Linked DNA regions of Sus scrofa. The protein of the gene in region 3 purifies or fractionates together with the protein of the main gene of each other region. This does not show direct contact. Links are inferred from orthologs where the notes say so. Each region holds a gene or a part of one and is shown on either strand. Other genes may lie near its edges.

Evidence for each region.
Region 1: the proteins of TIMMDC1 (region 3) and ACAD9 purify together in Homo sapiens (affinity purification with mass spectrometry; 3 studies listed by BioGRID and IntAct, counting the BioPlex papers as one, with this or other methods). This does not show direct contact. The link is inferred for Sus scrofa from reciprocal best matches to the Homo sapiens genes TIMMDC1 and ACAD9.
Region 2: the proteins of TIMMDC1 (region 3) and NDUFA13 purify together in Homo sapiens (co-immunoprecipitation; 3 studies listed by BioGRID and IntAct, with this or other methods). This does not show direct contact. The link is inferred for Sus scrofa from reciprocal best matches to the Homo sapiens genes TIMMDC1 and NDUFA13.

What each region holds. Positions count from the first base shown.
Region 1 is NC_010455.5:71,419,180-71,423,385, forward strand, and holds the end of ACAD9 (acyl-CoA dehydrogenase family member 9, mitochondrial), read left to right. Parts: intron 1-127; coding exon 128-207; intron 208-737; coding exon 738-864; intron 865-1,048; coding exon 1,049-1,126; intron 1,127-1,537; coding exon 1,538-1,666; intron 1,667-1,706; exon of another isoform or gene 1,707-1,862; coding exon of another isoform or gene 1,863-1,897; intron 1,898-2,298; coding exon 2,299-2,371; intron 2,372-2,790; coding exon 2,791-2,891; 3' UTR 2,892-3,213; downstream 3,214-4,206. Other genes in the region: uncharacterized protein KIAA1257 homolog, read right to left, coding at 3,833-4,032. UniProt on the Homo sapiens protein: As part of the MCIA complex, primarily participates in the assembly of the mitochondrial complex I and therefore plays a role in oxidative phosphorylation.
Region 2 is NC_010444.4:58,406,792-58,412,196, reverse strand, and holds the start of NDUFA13 (NADH dehydrogenase [ubiquinone] 1 alpha subcomplex subunit 13), read left to right. Parts: upstream 1-1,782; 5' UTR 1,783-1,886; coding exon 1,887-1,980; intron 1,981-5,405. Other genes in the region: TSSK6 (testis-specific serine/threonine-protein kinase 6), read right to left, coding at 254-1,075. UniProt on the Homo sapiens protein: Accessory subunit of the mitochondrial membrane respiratory chain NADH dehydrogenase (Complex I), that is believed not to be involved in catalysis. Complex I functions in the transfer of electrons from NADH to the respiratory chain.
Region 3 is NC_010455.5:140,727,262-140,731,831, reverse strand, and holds the end of TIMMDC1 (complex I assembly factor TIMMDC1, mitochondrial), read left to right. Parts: intron 1-586; coding exon 587-731; 3' UTR 732-3,273; downstream 3,274-4,570.

The DNA.
Region 1 (4,206 bases), about 69 Mb from region 3:
TCACAGCCCTGCTCCTGGCTGCTCTCAAAGAGTTAGCAGGCAGTACCTGGCCTAGCCTCTCACACACATGCACTGCTAGGGCTGCCCTGCTGGGGGCAGCCTTTGACTCAGGGAACGCTGCCCACAGGGAACCAACGAGATTCTCCGGATGTACATCGCCCTGACAGGCCTGCAGCACGCCGGGCGCGCCCTGACTGCAAGGGTCAAGTAGGTGCCACTTCCACCGTCCCCTGGGTCCCCCTGCCTGGCAGAACCGTCCAGTGCAGCAGGAGGAGGGGGCTGCCTCATCCGGGGACCAGGCCGCGCAGGCTTGCAGTGCTCAGCTCTATCATTGGCTGGCTGGAGGGAGGGGACGGGCCCTGTCCCCTGCCGCACAGTCACACTGCCCCCGTTCCCTGCAGCTCCCACTCCCATGGGGCAGGGAGCTACTTTCAGAACCTGGGCAGTGAGAGGCGACCCCCAAACAGGCAGTGGCTCCAAGGCTGACGCAGGACCAGTGTCTCTTTTCCCAACCCCCATCCTGGGGCAGCAACAGTTGGCGATCCTGCTGGAGCCCAGGCCCTGCAGGGGAGGATGACCTGGAAGCTGGCCTGACCCAGTCCTCCGTGTCAAAGATGGCTGCTCCCTGAGGGCTGGTGGGGGGAGGGCCTCGTGGGTCCTGAGTCGGCCCTCTGGGTGCATAGTCAGGGAGCTTGAGCACTGATGCCTCAGCTAACAGGGCCGTGGGCTCCCTGCAGGGAGCTGAAACGGGGCAATGTGACCACCGTCATGGAGACCGTTGGCCGGAGGCTTCGGGACTCCCTTGGCCGAACCGTAGACCTGGGGCTGACAGGGAAGCTTGGAGCTGTGCACCCCAGTGTTGCGGTGAGTGGGCCCAGCAGGTGGACATCCCCATCGGTGTCCCCTTCCCAGAAGAGGTGCAACGGGGGTTTTGGGGAGGGCTGCTTGATGCCCCGTCTCCGCCCTGTCCGGGTGGAGAAGGGCCCAGCCTGGTAGCAGGGCCTGAGACTGCGGGAGGACCATGCTGAGCAGAGCCCCCCGCCCACAGGACGGTGCCCACAAGCTCGAGGAGAACGTGTACTACTTCGGCCGCACAGTGGAGATGCTGCTGCTTCGCTTTGGCAAGGTACCTGGGGTCAGGGAGATGCGCCAACATCCAAGTGGGACCAAGCCTAGGAGGGAATCTTGGTCTCCATGGAGGGCTGGGAGACCCCTGCTGGGAGGGCATCTTCTGGGTGCAGAGAGGCTTCTTGGAGCAGGACAGGCAGCCCTACCTGGGCCTGAATCTCAGGACCTGTTCTGTGAGGTTCTTGCTGCTGAAGTGACTTTAAGCCCTGGCTTCTAGTCTCAGCCAGGTGTCCGGGACATGGACTTGTCTTGACTTCTGCCCAGATTTGCACAGAGCCGCCGGGAGCCAGCCTCCCACAGCCCGAGGGGAGGGCAGTGCATGAAGCTCAGAGACGGCAGAGGGGCCCAGGGCAGGGCCTGTGTGAGGAGGTCCCAGGTGGCGAGTCTCCACCCTGCCCTCTGTTCCCAGACCATCGTGGAGGAGCAGTTGATCTTGAAGCGAGTGGCCAACGTCCTCATCAACCTGTATGGCATGACGGCTGTGCTGTCGCGGGCCACCCGCTCCATCCGCATGGGGCTCCGGAACCATGACCACGAGGTGAGAGCCCCCCGCTTCTCCCCACAGGCAGCTTCCCTGCTGGCTTGTCATGCTGCATTTTAATCAGATGTGGTGGTTGTGGGGGGAGGGGGCTGCTGTGCGAGTCCAGGGTCATGTCCCCAGAGGGATGAAGGCGAACCTGGAGAGTTGTGGCTGTGTCCAGTGCTCTCAGCTCTGATGGGCAGGTCCTTGCTGCTCAGGACATGAGGCCACTGCCTTTCATCTTCCTGCCTGAGAGAAGAGGGAGGGTGAGTGGCGGGGCCCCACATCCAGCTCCCTCACCCCATCTCTTGGTGGGCAGTGCAGCCTGAGCACCTGCTGTGTACACGCGTGTCTTGACGCACTTTGGTCTGAGAAGCCCGGAGCTGTGGGAATTATGATTCCCTCCCACAGAGGGGGAAATGGAGGCTCAGGGAGGTTGAGTGACCTGCCCTGGAGACAGAGTCCCTTTGGCTCAGGCTGGAATCAGAATCTAAGGCCATGGCCTGACTCTGGCCAAGCTGCCTACTTTGGCTGACAGACTGTCTTCAGAGGCTCGAAAGTCAAGCGGGGGCGGGGGCGGGTGGGGGCGTGTCCTAAGGCCCAGAGATCTGAGTCCTCAGCAGCCACTTCTATGCCTTGGGTCCTGCCAGGTTCTGTTGACCAACATCTTCTGCACGGAAGCCTATCACCAGAATCTCTTCACCCTGTCCCAGCTGGACAAATGTAAGTGGGTGGCTTGGGGACAGGGGAACGGGGCTCCCAGGGCACTGTGCCCACAGATGTCTGCACCAAGTGAGGCTGCCAGCAGGAGCGCACACAGCAGGTGCGGCAGGTGTTGGCTTTGGCCTCCTCACTCCTTGCGCCCCATCTGACCCACCCAGGGAGGAGCACAGGGTTCTGTGCCCTCTGGGCTCTGGCGGCCCCTCTGTGCTGAAGGGCTGTTAGCTCCTGCTATGGTGGCTGCGGCGGAAGGGGAGTTGACAGGCTTGAATTGCTGAGGGGGGCTTTTTATCCCCTCTTCTCCCTGAGGCCCAGAATCACTTCCTGGGGAGGAGCTGTCACCTCTGCACTCCCTCCTAGCAGTGGCCTTATGTGGTTAGAAAAACTGCACAACATAGAAAGGCCACTCTCTTCTCTCCCAGGTTCTCCAGAAAATCTAGACGAACAGATCAAGAAAGTGTCCCAGCAGGTCCTAGAGAAGCGAGCCTACATCTGTGCCCACCCTCTGGACCGGATGTCCTGAAGTGGAAGGACAGTGTCCCCTGCTGCCACCTGCCCCTGGACACGCTCACACTTTCCAGAAGGCAGAGAACTTGGGTCCTTAAAGGCTGACCATTTCTCCTCCAGCCCCTGACCTGGGGGCACTGCTGCCTGACATCCCACCAGACTCCACGTGGCTTCTGGGAGAGTGAGAACTGCTGAGATTCCCTAGCTCAAGGGACACCCTTTGCCACCCCACTCAGGGTGGGACCAGGCTTGTACCACCCCCTCTGTGGCCTGGGCTGGCAGGGACATGCCTCAGGCAGGGTAGCCGCTTCAAGAAGCAGTTCATACATCACCTGGAATCCGTATGTGTCATTCTTTTAAACTAGAAGCAAAATGCACTTAAAATATGTTCAACGAGAACTCTTTAACAAAGAGAGTGTAAAACGGCACCAATTGTTAGTTTAGCATTTGCCATACTAGGCATGTGTTTCCTCACAACCAGCCTTTAGCACGTGGCAAGTTGACCCTGAGAGATCCACACTCTGGTGACAGCTGTAGGGTCAGGAGCCCTTGCCATTGGTCCTTTCCAGGTAAAGCTGCTGGTCTGTGGCAAGAGATGCTGCTCCCAGCTGGGCTTTCCTCTTGTTCGTCATGGGGACAAGAGACGTCTTTCAGAAGCACGAGCAGGACTCTGTGTGTCCAGGTCCCAGCATGCTCACCTGGCAGGCTTCAGGCTTTGGTCTGGTTCCTGGGTGGTCTGTGCTCCAGAAAGCCCATCACAGCCAGCAGCCAGGCTCTCCCCCTCCTCCAGGTAGGATTCTGCCTTGGCTGGGGTGATGGGAACCGGTTCGAGAGCTGTGCTGGTTCTGGGGGTGGGGCTGAGCCTCTGGCACCTCATCTTCAAAGGTGAGAGCTAATCTTCCACAGGTGGAAGCTTACAAACACAGTGACTTGATGAACAACTTGCCAGCGAAACCCTTAGTTTTTACAGTGTCTTGCTGGCAGGGAGGCACTTTGCACAGAGGAGAGAGCACGTGTCTTCTTGCAGTGCGGGGACAGAAGGCCGCATGGAGCCACGTCTGCAGCAGGTTTTCTGTGTCCAACTGAATGTAAAACATCAGGCCACTGGTTCCATGTCTCCCTTCTCCCCTGCTCTACCGGAGGCTTTCTTACCTGTGCTGTGTGTAGGGAGGGGAGTCAGGGAAGGCCCATGGACGTGACTGTAATTCTGAGCCTGGGATCCACCACCAGGTAGCAGGGCACCTGAGCCTGTGCTGAAGGGAGGCAGGGAGATCCAGGCAGGAAACAGACCAAGTCCATGTCCTCCTGTTTCACAGAGCTCCCAGCTCCCT
Region 2 (5,405 bases), on a different chromosome or scaffold from region 3:
CGGGTCCCTCTCTGGGCTTCTCTTGGGGTATAGAGGAAGGGCATGAGCCCTCCCGCTCTTGGGATTGTGGAGGAGGAGCTAGATTCCGAACAAGGGCCACCGAGGCCCCCGGCATCGAAAGAATTGGGATGAGGGGAAGGGCGCGTGCGCAGCGGTGCGCGGCGGCTTCGCAGAACTCCGGAAGCGCGCTTCTTGCGCGTACGCTGCGCTTGCGCAGTGCTCGGGGCAGCGGGAATAGTGGGAACCCCGGCTTCTAGCCGGAGTCCCCAGCACGCAGCCAGCCGTTGCGCGCTACTTGGCCGGCGGAGGGCCTAGCCGACGGGCTGAACTGCAGCAACTCGGCGATCAGGGCCTTGCAGCGTTCGGACAGCTCGAGGCCGTCAGGGTAGAGAACGCCGCGCTTCTGGCGCCTGGGCAGGCCAGCGATATCGGAGTCGTCAAAGGGCATACACCCGGTGACCATGACGTAGAGCACGACGCCCAAGCTCCACACGTCGTACTTCTTGGGGTCGTAGGGGATGCCCAGGAGTACCTCGGGCGATGCGTAGGCGGCTGAGCCGCAATATGTGGTGCTTAGATCCGGGTAGCCGTGCGCCTGTCGGCCGAAGCCGAAGTCGGTAAGCTTGACGCGGCGCTCATCAGGGCTCAGCAGCACGTTTTCGCACTTGAGGTCGCGGTGCACCAGGTGGTGGTCGTGCAGGTAGCGCACAGCACCGGCGATCTGCGCGAAGAGGTCGCGCGCCTGCCCCCCTGGGATGCGCCCGTTGCGCTGCACGGCCTGCAGTAGGTCGGTGGCGGCCGCCTCCATCACGATGTACAGCTTCCCGTTGCACACCTCGATGAACTCGAAGACGTGCACGATGTGCGGGTGCCGCACGCCCCGAAGGATGGACAGCTCTCGTGGCAGGAACTTGTTGACGAAGTCGGGCGGCGCGCGCCGCCGGTCCACCACCTTGATGGCCACTGTGCCCTTGTACTTCTTGGATGTAGCCACCTTTACCTTGGAATAACTGCCCTCGCCTATTGTGCGGCCCAGCTTATAGCCGAGTTCGCTCAGAAGTTTGTCGCCCGACATGGTGGCGCCTGGGGCGCGTGGGGAGCAGGAGACGGCTGCTGTCGGGGGGCGGCCGGACTCCGATCTCGGGCCTAACCCATGGCGCTTGGCACCTGCACACCCGCACCCCCATGTGCCCACTCCCGGGCCCCCGCCGCCGCGGTGCCTTTTATTGCCCAGGTAACAATTTCTGCCTTGTGAAGTGACTGCGGGCGTCACCCCGCCTCGGGGTGGGGGCCCCCAGACCCTGTCCTGTGGTGCTCCCTAAGACCGTAGGGCTTTGTGACTCATAATCGCTCCGAATGGTTCAGTTCCTGATGAGAGGACACTATCAAGGGGTCCCTACCACTAGAAGTGGAATCCGTGCCCAGGATTGGGGCAGCTCATGGCGTCCGAAGCTGAGGAGCAGCCGACCCCCAACTTCATGTGCCCAGCCCAGACCCTGAGGAGGCCCCCCAAGGGGAGAAAATGGGAAAGAGACCTGGCTCCATCCGGCGCTTGGGGATTGTCTGGTCTGCACGTCGTCTCATAGGGAAGGTGAATGGGAAGTGCTTTGGTGCAAAGACCCTGGCGCCCTAGCCTGTTGAGGGCGTTGACATTGATTGAGCCACGCCCTATTTGGGAGCCGATACTCTTTGGCTGCAGCTAGGCGGCACAGTCATTGTCCCGCCCAGCTGCCGGAGCTTTACCACGCGCTGGGGTAGGTGCAGCAGAGCGCCAGGTTTCCCGGCTAGGTCCTAGACCTGCGCGGCAGCTTCCGCCACGCTCCTTATGGTGGAGGCATACGTTGTGTAACTTCCTTTCCCGACCGGAAGTGCAAGGTACTGCAAGTATGGCGGCATCGAAGGTGAAGCAGGACATGCCCCCACCAGGGGGCTATGGCCCTATCGACTACAAGCGGAACCTCCCACGTCGAGGACTGTCGGGTCAGTGTCGTCCTGTGCCGGGGTGTCAGGGTCTAGGCCCTCTGGGCGCCGCGGCGGGGTTGGGACGCGGGGAGTCTAGCGCGCCTGCTTTTTCCCCGGGATCCCAGATACCTTCACTAGTGACATTAAGAACAACTGCTGCAGTTTGTTCGAGCGTTTACCAAGCCCTTTACATCTTTCTCGTTAACAGCCCAGGAGGCCAGTCCTGTTAATTATTCCCACTTCGTAATTAAACAGATTAATTTTTTAACCCGTGCGGAGAGCCTTCCGCCACGCTCTCGGTTCACTGGTGGGGAAACAGACCCGAGAGAGGATGTGACCTCCCACCAGGGCCATCCAGAGCAAAGCTGGGGCTGAAACCCGGAATACTGAGGGAATTTTAAAGATGTTCTGTGCGGTGGTTCCTCGCTGGGGGCCCCACCTGCAGGATATCCCAGGAATATGCATCCTTAAAATTTTTTGTTGGGTAAAATGTAAGAGAGAAAGTAAAAGGCACCCATACTCTGCACTCAGGATTAACGGAGAAATACAGAAAATGTAAAGAAGAGTTAAGAATACTTTGTTGTAACTCATTGAACTTTACATTTAAAAGTGCGTCCTGTGCACATTTTGCCTCAATTAAAAGGCAAAAAAATTCATAGGCAAAAAAAGTTCTAATTCAGATAGTGAAAAATTCATGTACTCAAGTCCTTCTCTGCCCTTTCTTGGCTTTTTTGTAATGTGGAACCAAGGTTGACAAACTTTTTATGTAAAGAGCCAGATAAATATTTCATGCTTTGCTGGCCAGGTGGTCTTTGCTGCTACTGCTTTACTGCTTTACAGCTTTACAAACCCAAGTGTTCCTAGCCAGAGGGCTATAGAAAAATAGGTTACAGGCTAGGTTTGGCACCACATGGGCACTCAATTCGCACCACATGGGAACTCAACAAGCCAGTACACCCCTTGAGTGTGTGGCATGAGGTTTGTCTATACATGTATACTTTTTTTTTTTTTTTTTTTTGTCTTTTGTCTTTTAGGGCCACACCTGTGGCATATGGAGATTCCCAGGCTAGGGGTCTAATCGGAGCTGTAGCCACTGGCCTGCACCAGAGCCACAGCAATGTGAGATCCAAGCCGTGTCTGCGACCCTCACCACAGCTCATGGCAATGCCAGATCCTTAACCCGCTGAGCAAGGGCAGGGATCGAACCCGCAGCCTCATGGTTCCTAGTTGGATTCGTTAACCACTGAGCCACGACGGGAACTCCATGTATACTTTTATGACATGCATCCAGACCAGGCTATGTAGGGATCCCAGCCCTTGGGTCTTCCTGGGATCTCCACAGTCAGCTTCTCTCTTTTTTCCTTTTTTTCTTTTTTTTCAGAACCACACCCATGGCATATAAAAGTTCCCCGCCTAGAGGTCAAATCAGAGCTTGCAGCTGCCAGCCTACCACAGCCACAGCATTGCTGGATCCCAGCTGGCATCTGCAACCTCCAGTACAGCTTGTGGCAATGCTGGATCCTTAACCCACTGAACAAAGCCAGGGATTGAACCCATGTCCTCATGGATACTATGTTGGATTCTTAATCCACTGAGCCACAACGGGAACTCCAGTCAGCTTCTCTTTTATTTTTAAATCACAAATGTGGCCTTTATCCTGTTGCTCTTCCAGTTCATGACCTAGAAGTGCCTCCCTCCCATGTGCCCTAAGTAAACCACTGCCTGGGATTGGGTCTCCTAATCTCAGCTCATTACACCTCCTTTTGTTGTAGCATATACAGACCCACCCCATTCTTTCCTGGCTGCAGAGCTGTAGGGAAGATATTCCCTTCTGGAGTGTGGTCTTTGTTTATGTACCTACATTCAGTAATTATTGAGTGCATCCATGGTGCTGGGTTCTTTCCTGAGGAGCTCAGGATCCAGCTGAGGAGACAGACACATCACTCCATAATTTCCCGTTGTAGCCAATGGAAAGGCCTGCCAGAGTCCCTGGCCAGAGTGGGCTGAATCACCTCTCTGAGAAGGAGTTTCCCAGGCAGAGGGAACCGCAAATGTAAAAGCCCTTTAGGAGTTCGCATCATGGCTCAGCGGTTAACGAACCTGACTAGCATCCATGAGGATACAAGTTTGATCCCTGACCTTGCTCAGTGGGTTAAGGATCCAGCATTGCCATAAGCCATGGTGTAGGTTTGAAGACACAGATTGGATTCTGCATTGCTGTGGCTGTGGCATAGGCCACAGGTACAGCTCCAATTAGACCCCTAGTCTGGGAACCTCCATATGTTGTGGGTAAGGCCCCCCCCCAAAAAAAAAGAAAAAAAGTAAAAGCCCTTTACTCTGTCCTGTGCCTGCCCTCATTCTCTGTCCTCCAGGCCCTCCTCTAGCCTTGCCTCAAAAGTGCTCTTGTCAAGGCACTGTGATCGCAAACTTGGCATGCTCTCCCCCTTCTCTCCAGTTACTGCCAGCATCCCAGAATGTGTGGCTCAGGCCACCTTTAGTCCACTGCTCCCAATATAACTACTATTACCACCTTTTCCCCTCCTCTCTCATGCCCAGCTCTCCTTTCTCCACTCCCTCCTGTACCCAGCAAGTGGCCCTTTCTTTTCTTCTTATGTCTTTTACATTTTTATTGAACTGTACCATACAATTCACCCATTTCATATGTACACATAACTGAGTTTTAGTCTATTCATTGTTGTGCAACCATCACAACTAAGTGATGGCACCTAATGAATCTTCAGAACTTTGAAAATGTTTACAACATTTTCATCACCCCAAAAAGAAATCTCATACCCATTAGCCATTACTACGTTCTTCCCTCAGCCCCTGACAACCACTGATCTGCTTTCTGTCTCTATGGATTCACTTCTTCTGGACATTTCATATAAATGGAATTGTTTACTATGTGTATTTTTTTGTCTGGCTTTTCTCACTGAACATGTTTTTAATGTTTATATTGTATGTTTCAGTGCTTCGTTCTTTTTTTCAGGCTGAATAATATTCTTGTATGGCTGGACCATATTTTATGTATCCATTTACCACTTTATGGTCATTTGAGTTGTTTCTAACTTTTGGCTGTTAAGAACTGCTGCCATGAACATTCCTGTACAGGTTTCTGTGTGAGCATTTGTTTCCTTTCTCTTAGGTGGAGTGGGATTGCTGGGTCATATGGTAACTCCACTTAACATTTTGAGAAACTGCCAAACTGTTTTCTAAATTGATCGTACCATTTTACATTTCCACCTGCAGTGTATGGGAGTTCCAGTTTCTCCACATCTGGACAACACTGTTACTCACTTTAGCCATCCTAGTAGGTGTGAGGTGGTATCTGAGTTTTTTAGTATATTTTGAATATCTTTCTCTTATCAGATATATGATTTGCAAAACTTTCTCCCACTCTGTGAGTTGCCTTTTCAGCTCATTGATGGTGTCATTTGCAGCAC
Region 3 (4,570 bases):
ATCTTAGCCCAGGGTTTTCAGCAACTGCGTGCCACCCCTGCAAAAATTCTGGCGTATCTTAAGAATCAGAGCTTCTGCTCCAGCAATGTCCGTTTTGGTAATGAGAGAATTCTACTCGGCTTATAAGTGGAACAGGTTAGGAGAGAGAAGAAAGTCATTGTATTTGAAATGCAAGGGTCAGTGTTTGCTCAGGAGTTGTAAGGGAGAGTAAGACACAATACTATCTTTTAAAAAAAGTCTAAGAGGAGTTCCCGTCGTGGCACAGTGGTTAACGAATCTGACTAGGAACCATGAGGTTGCGGGTTCGCTCCCTGCCCTTGCTCAGTGGGTTAACGATCCGGCGTTGCCGTGAGCTGTGGTGTAGGTTGCAGACTCGGCTTGGATACCGCGTTGCTGTGGCTCTGGCTAGGCCAGTGGCTACAGCTTTGATTCGACCCCTAGCCTGGGAACCTCCATATACCGCAGGAGCGGCCCAAAGAAATAGCAAAAAGACCAAAAAAAATAATAATAATAATAAAAAATAAAAAAAGTCTAAGAACCAAAAAAAAGGAACAATATTTGATATATTCTTATTCTTTGATTACAGGAAAGCCAGACTACAATTTACTGAGCTCCTCCCTGAAGAAATTGAAAGCAGTTTACAGAAAAATCAATCCAAGGATGATGCTATGAAAATTGAAACACTGCTGAATCTTCCTAGAAACCCTTCATCAACAAATAAACAAGACTAGGATTGAAAATGCTCTGGACTCACTGGAGAGTTGAAGGGAGCTATGTGTTACCATGTCCATTGAATGGTGGTTGGTTGGGCTGCTGACAAATGTAAGCACTGGCATCTGTAGTGGCAGTGACTTATCTTTTAAAAAAAACAAGCAAGAATTGGGCTATTCTTAGTTTACTCATCCATAAATTTAAACACATACGTGTATCTATATTGATTGATCAATTTAAATTTCTTTTCCCTCAATACTACAACAGTAAATTTAGAATTTCCCTAGAGATTAAAATTGAATTCTACAGATTAAAAATTGACATTTGTAGGTTACTGTAGGGATCACTAGGAAGAGGGGAGAAAAGAACTAGGTAAGGAGTTCCTGTCGTGGCGCAGAGGTTAACGAATCCGACTAGGAACCATGAGGTTGCGGGTTCGGTCCCTGCCCTTGCTCAGTGGGTTAGGGATCCGGCGTTGCCGTGAGCTGTGGTGTAGGTTGCAGACGCGGCTCGGATCCTGCGTTGCTGTGGCTCTGGCGTAGGCTGGCGGCTACAGCTCCGATTCGACCCCTAGCCGGGGAACCTCCATATGCCTCGGGAGCAGCCCAAAGAAATAGCAAAAAGCCAAAAAGCCAAAAAAAAAAAAAAAAAAAGAAAAGAACTAGGTAAGGCAAATGGTCTCTGAAGCCCTGGGTTCCTGGAAACAGTAAGTGCCAGACGTGTAGTAGTGCTTGGTTTTTTTGTTTTGTTTTCTTTTAGGGCCTCACCTGCAGCATATGGAAGTTCCCAGGCTAGGTGTCAAATCGGAACTACAGTTGCTGCCACAGCGTCAGCCACAGCAATGCCAGGTCTGAGCCATATCTTCGACCTACACTGCAGCTTGGGGCCAGGGATTGAACCTGTATCCTCGCTGACGCTATGTTGGGCTCTTAACCTGTTGAGTCACAATGGCAACTCCTGGTTTTGTTTCAGTAAAAATCAAAGATGGTTCCCATGCCATTTGAAATAAAACTTAAAAAAGGAAGTGGCTAGGCCAGACCTTATTTCCTCTCTCAGTATTGCTGACAAAGTATCTCTGCTGTATATGCAAGAGTTACTCAGATTAATAGATACTTAGTCTCTGCACTCCAGGAGCTTGCTGCCTGAGAAGGAAAAGGAAGTTGCCCTGCAGATTGTAACTTTTACTAAATGAGGGGGTGGGGGGGGATGACTGAGTCAAGTGTACTGAGGGGTAAAAACTGCTTGTGCTTTGTTTGGGGGTTAAACTTAGTGAAAATGCTGTTGCCCACATGAGCAGCGTTTGAGGTTCCCATATGGTGCAGCAGGTTTGGGATCCGTTATTGCCGCAGCTATAGTACAGGCCACAACATCCGCACAGGTTTGATCCCTGGCCTGGGAACTTCCACATGTTGAAGGTGCAGCCAAAAGAAAAAAAAGTCTTTCACATGATCAGTATTTGTGAAGCAGCCTAGAGTGTTGGCTAGAACTGGGGGCTCTGGAGGCAGGGCACTGGCTTGCAGTCTTAGCCCTGTGTCTTTGCATCCATGTGACCTACAGCACAGCCATTTTACTTTAAGTCTGGAGTTTTCTGTCAAATGAAACAGTATCTACCCCAGAATGGGTAGTAAATGTGTAGAGCATAACACAATGCTGTGGCACACAGGACATTATCTAATTGCAGATATTAGCAGTTAAAATTGTATGAGAACCTGGAGTTCCCTTTGTGGCTTGGTGGTTACAAATCCAACTAGTATCCATGAGGATGCGGGTTTGATCCCTGGCCTTGCTCAGTGGATTAAGGATCTGCTGTGTAGGTTGCAGATATAGCTCGGATCTGGTGTCGCTGTGGCTGTGGCATAGGCCAGCAGCTGCAGCTCCAGTTCAACACCTAGCCTGGGAACTTGCATATGCTACAGATGCAGTCCTAAAAAGAAAAAAAAGGGGGGAGAGATATGAGAACATCTGCACCAATGTATTTTCACCACGATTTACATATTCTTGCCACACTCCAAAAAGCATGTTTTTCTTAATCATCCCATTCATAAATTGTAACAAATTGGCAGTTAGTCGGTTTATTTTATTCATACCCCCATACAGGTTAAATCTTTAAACTAGAAATTATAAATTATCAGATGGTTGGTTTTAAAATAATTTTATTCATATCACAAAAATATCAAAATAATAGAAGTAAAATAATTTTGAAAGTAGTACTAATACATTTATTAAATGTAATAAGTAATAATTTACTATAATTTATTGTTTAAAGTACAAATAAGCTGTCTCTTGGGTTTGTCTCTTGTTTTGTGGTTAATTACTTCTTAAGGTCTCCTTTTGATCATGTCCGAGGATTATGAATCTTAACTAAAGGCAGCAATTCCTGTTTGTTGTTGTTGTTGTTGTTATGGTTGTTTCCTTACCTTACACTTTTGTCAGTCTACTACCCATATTTTCTTCAGTAACTTTGTTCTGTGAGGAACTATTTAAACATATACCTCTGTTCTTTAGACTATATAGCATAATCTGGTCCCTTTTTAGCTGTCAAAATTAAACATTTTAAATCCAGCCACATTTGAGAAACTTGGTCAACTCTTGCTGTCCAACTCTAGATTTTCAAATGAGAATGTCTAGTTGCCCCAGCTTAAGTAAGATTCACTTAGAGAAAGAGGAGTCATGAGTTAAGTAACATAAGAACAGTAGTTGGCCACTTCTTTCTTTTCAATTCTCTGCTGATGTCAGAATGATCCAAAAATACCAAGGAGGAAAAGCCACTTTAGGGATCTAAAGAAGCCTTGTGGAAGCTCTTTTTCATTACCTTAAGCAGTTTCTTCTAAAGACAGCTTAATCTTTAGTACATACACACAGTAAAACCTATCTCATTTTAACTGAGAACATCCTCATAAATATTTTATAAATGCAATTAAAGTAAAGCTATTTAAGGAAATTATCAGTCCAATGTGAACCAATAGAATGTTAACCCACTGAGCAAGGCCAGGGATTGAACCCTCATCCTTGTGAATACTATTTGGGTTCTTAACCCACTGAGCCACAACAGGAACTCCAGAATGTGCATCTTTAACCCACACTAACCACCCTCTCCAACCCAGCTATTGCTTTGGAGTGTATAAGTCATTGGCATTACATATCAGAGGAAATTAGTTTTGGATAGCTCTACTTCCTCCTGAACCTGGTAGAGAAGATTGATACTGGCTAAACTGTTTCCAGAAGCACTTTAACTCTGTGTGTGTGTGTGTACACATACCAGTTAATAGCACAGAGCTAGATTGATGAAGGAAAAGAGTACCAGAGCCAGGAAAATCTGGGTTCTAGCCTTGGCCTTTACAATTCAGGTCACCTCCCAGAACTTCAGTACCCTGTCATTGGTAAGACTAGTATTCGTGGAGTTCCCATTGTGGCTCAAGGGGTTAAGAACCCCACATAGTGTCAATGAGAAGGCGGATTTGATCCCTGGCCTTGCTCAGTGTGTTAAGGATCCAGTGTTGTTACAAGCTCTGCCGTAGGTTGCAGATACCGGCCCTGATCTAGTGTTGCTTTGGCTGTGGCTGTGGTGGCAACTGCAGCTCCAATTCTACCCCTAGCCTGAGAGCTTACATACACTACAGGTGTGGCCGTAAAAAAGGAAAAAAAAAAGGACTAGTATTCACTAATGTTTCCTCCAGGCCTACAGAATTCTGTGTTTCCATAGTTCCTATTGTGGCTCACTGGGTTAAGGAAAAAAAAAAAAAAAAAAAAAAGCCTGTGTTTACAAATCCTTGGTCAGCATCACTAGAGCTAACTTCTGTCCCCACCATACTCCTCCAGTCACTTTCTGCAAAGCCGCTGGAATGAGAGGCTCCTTGCA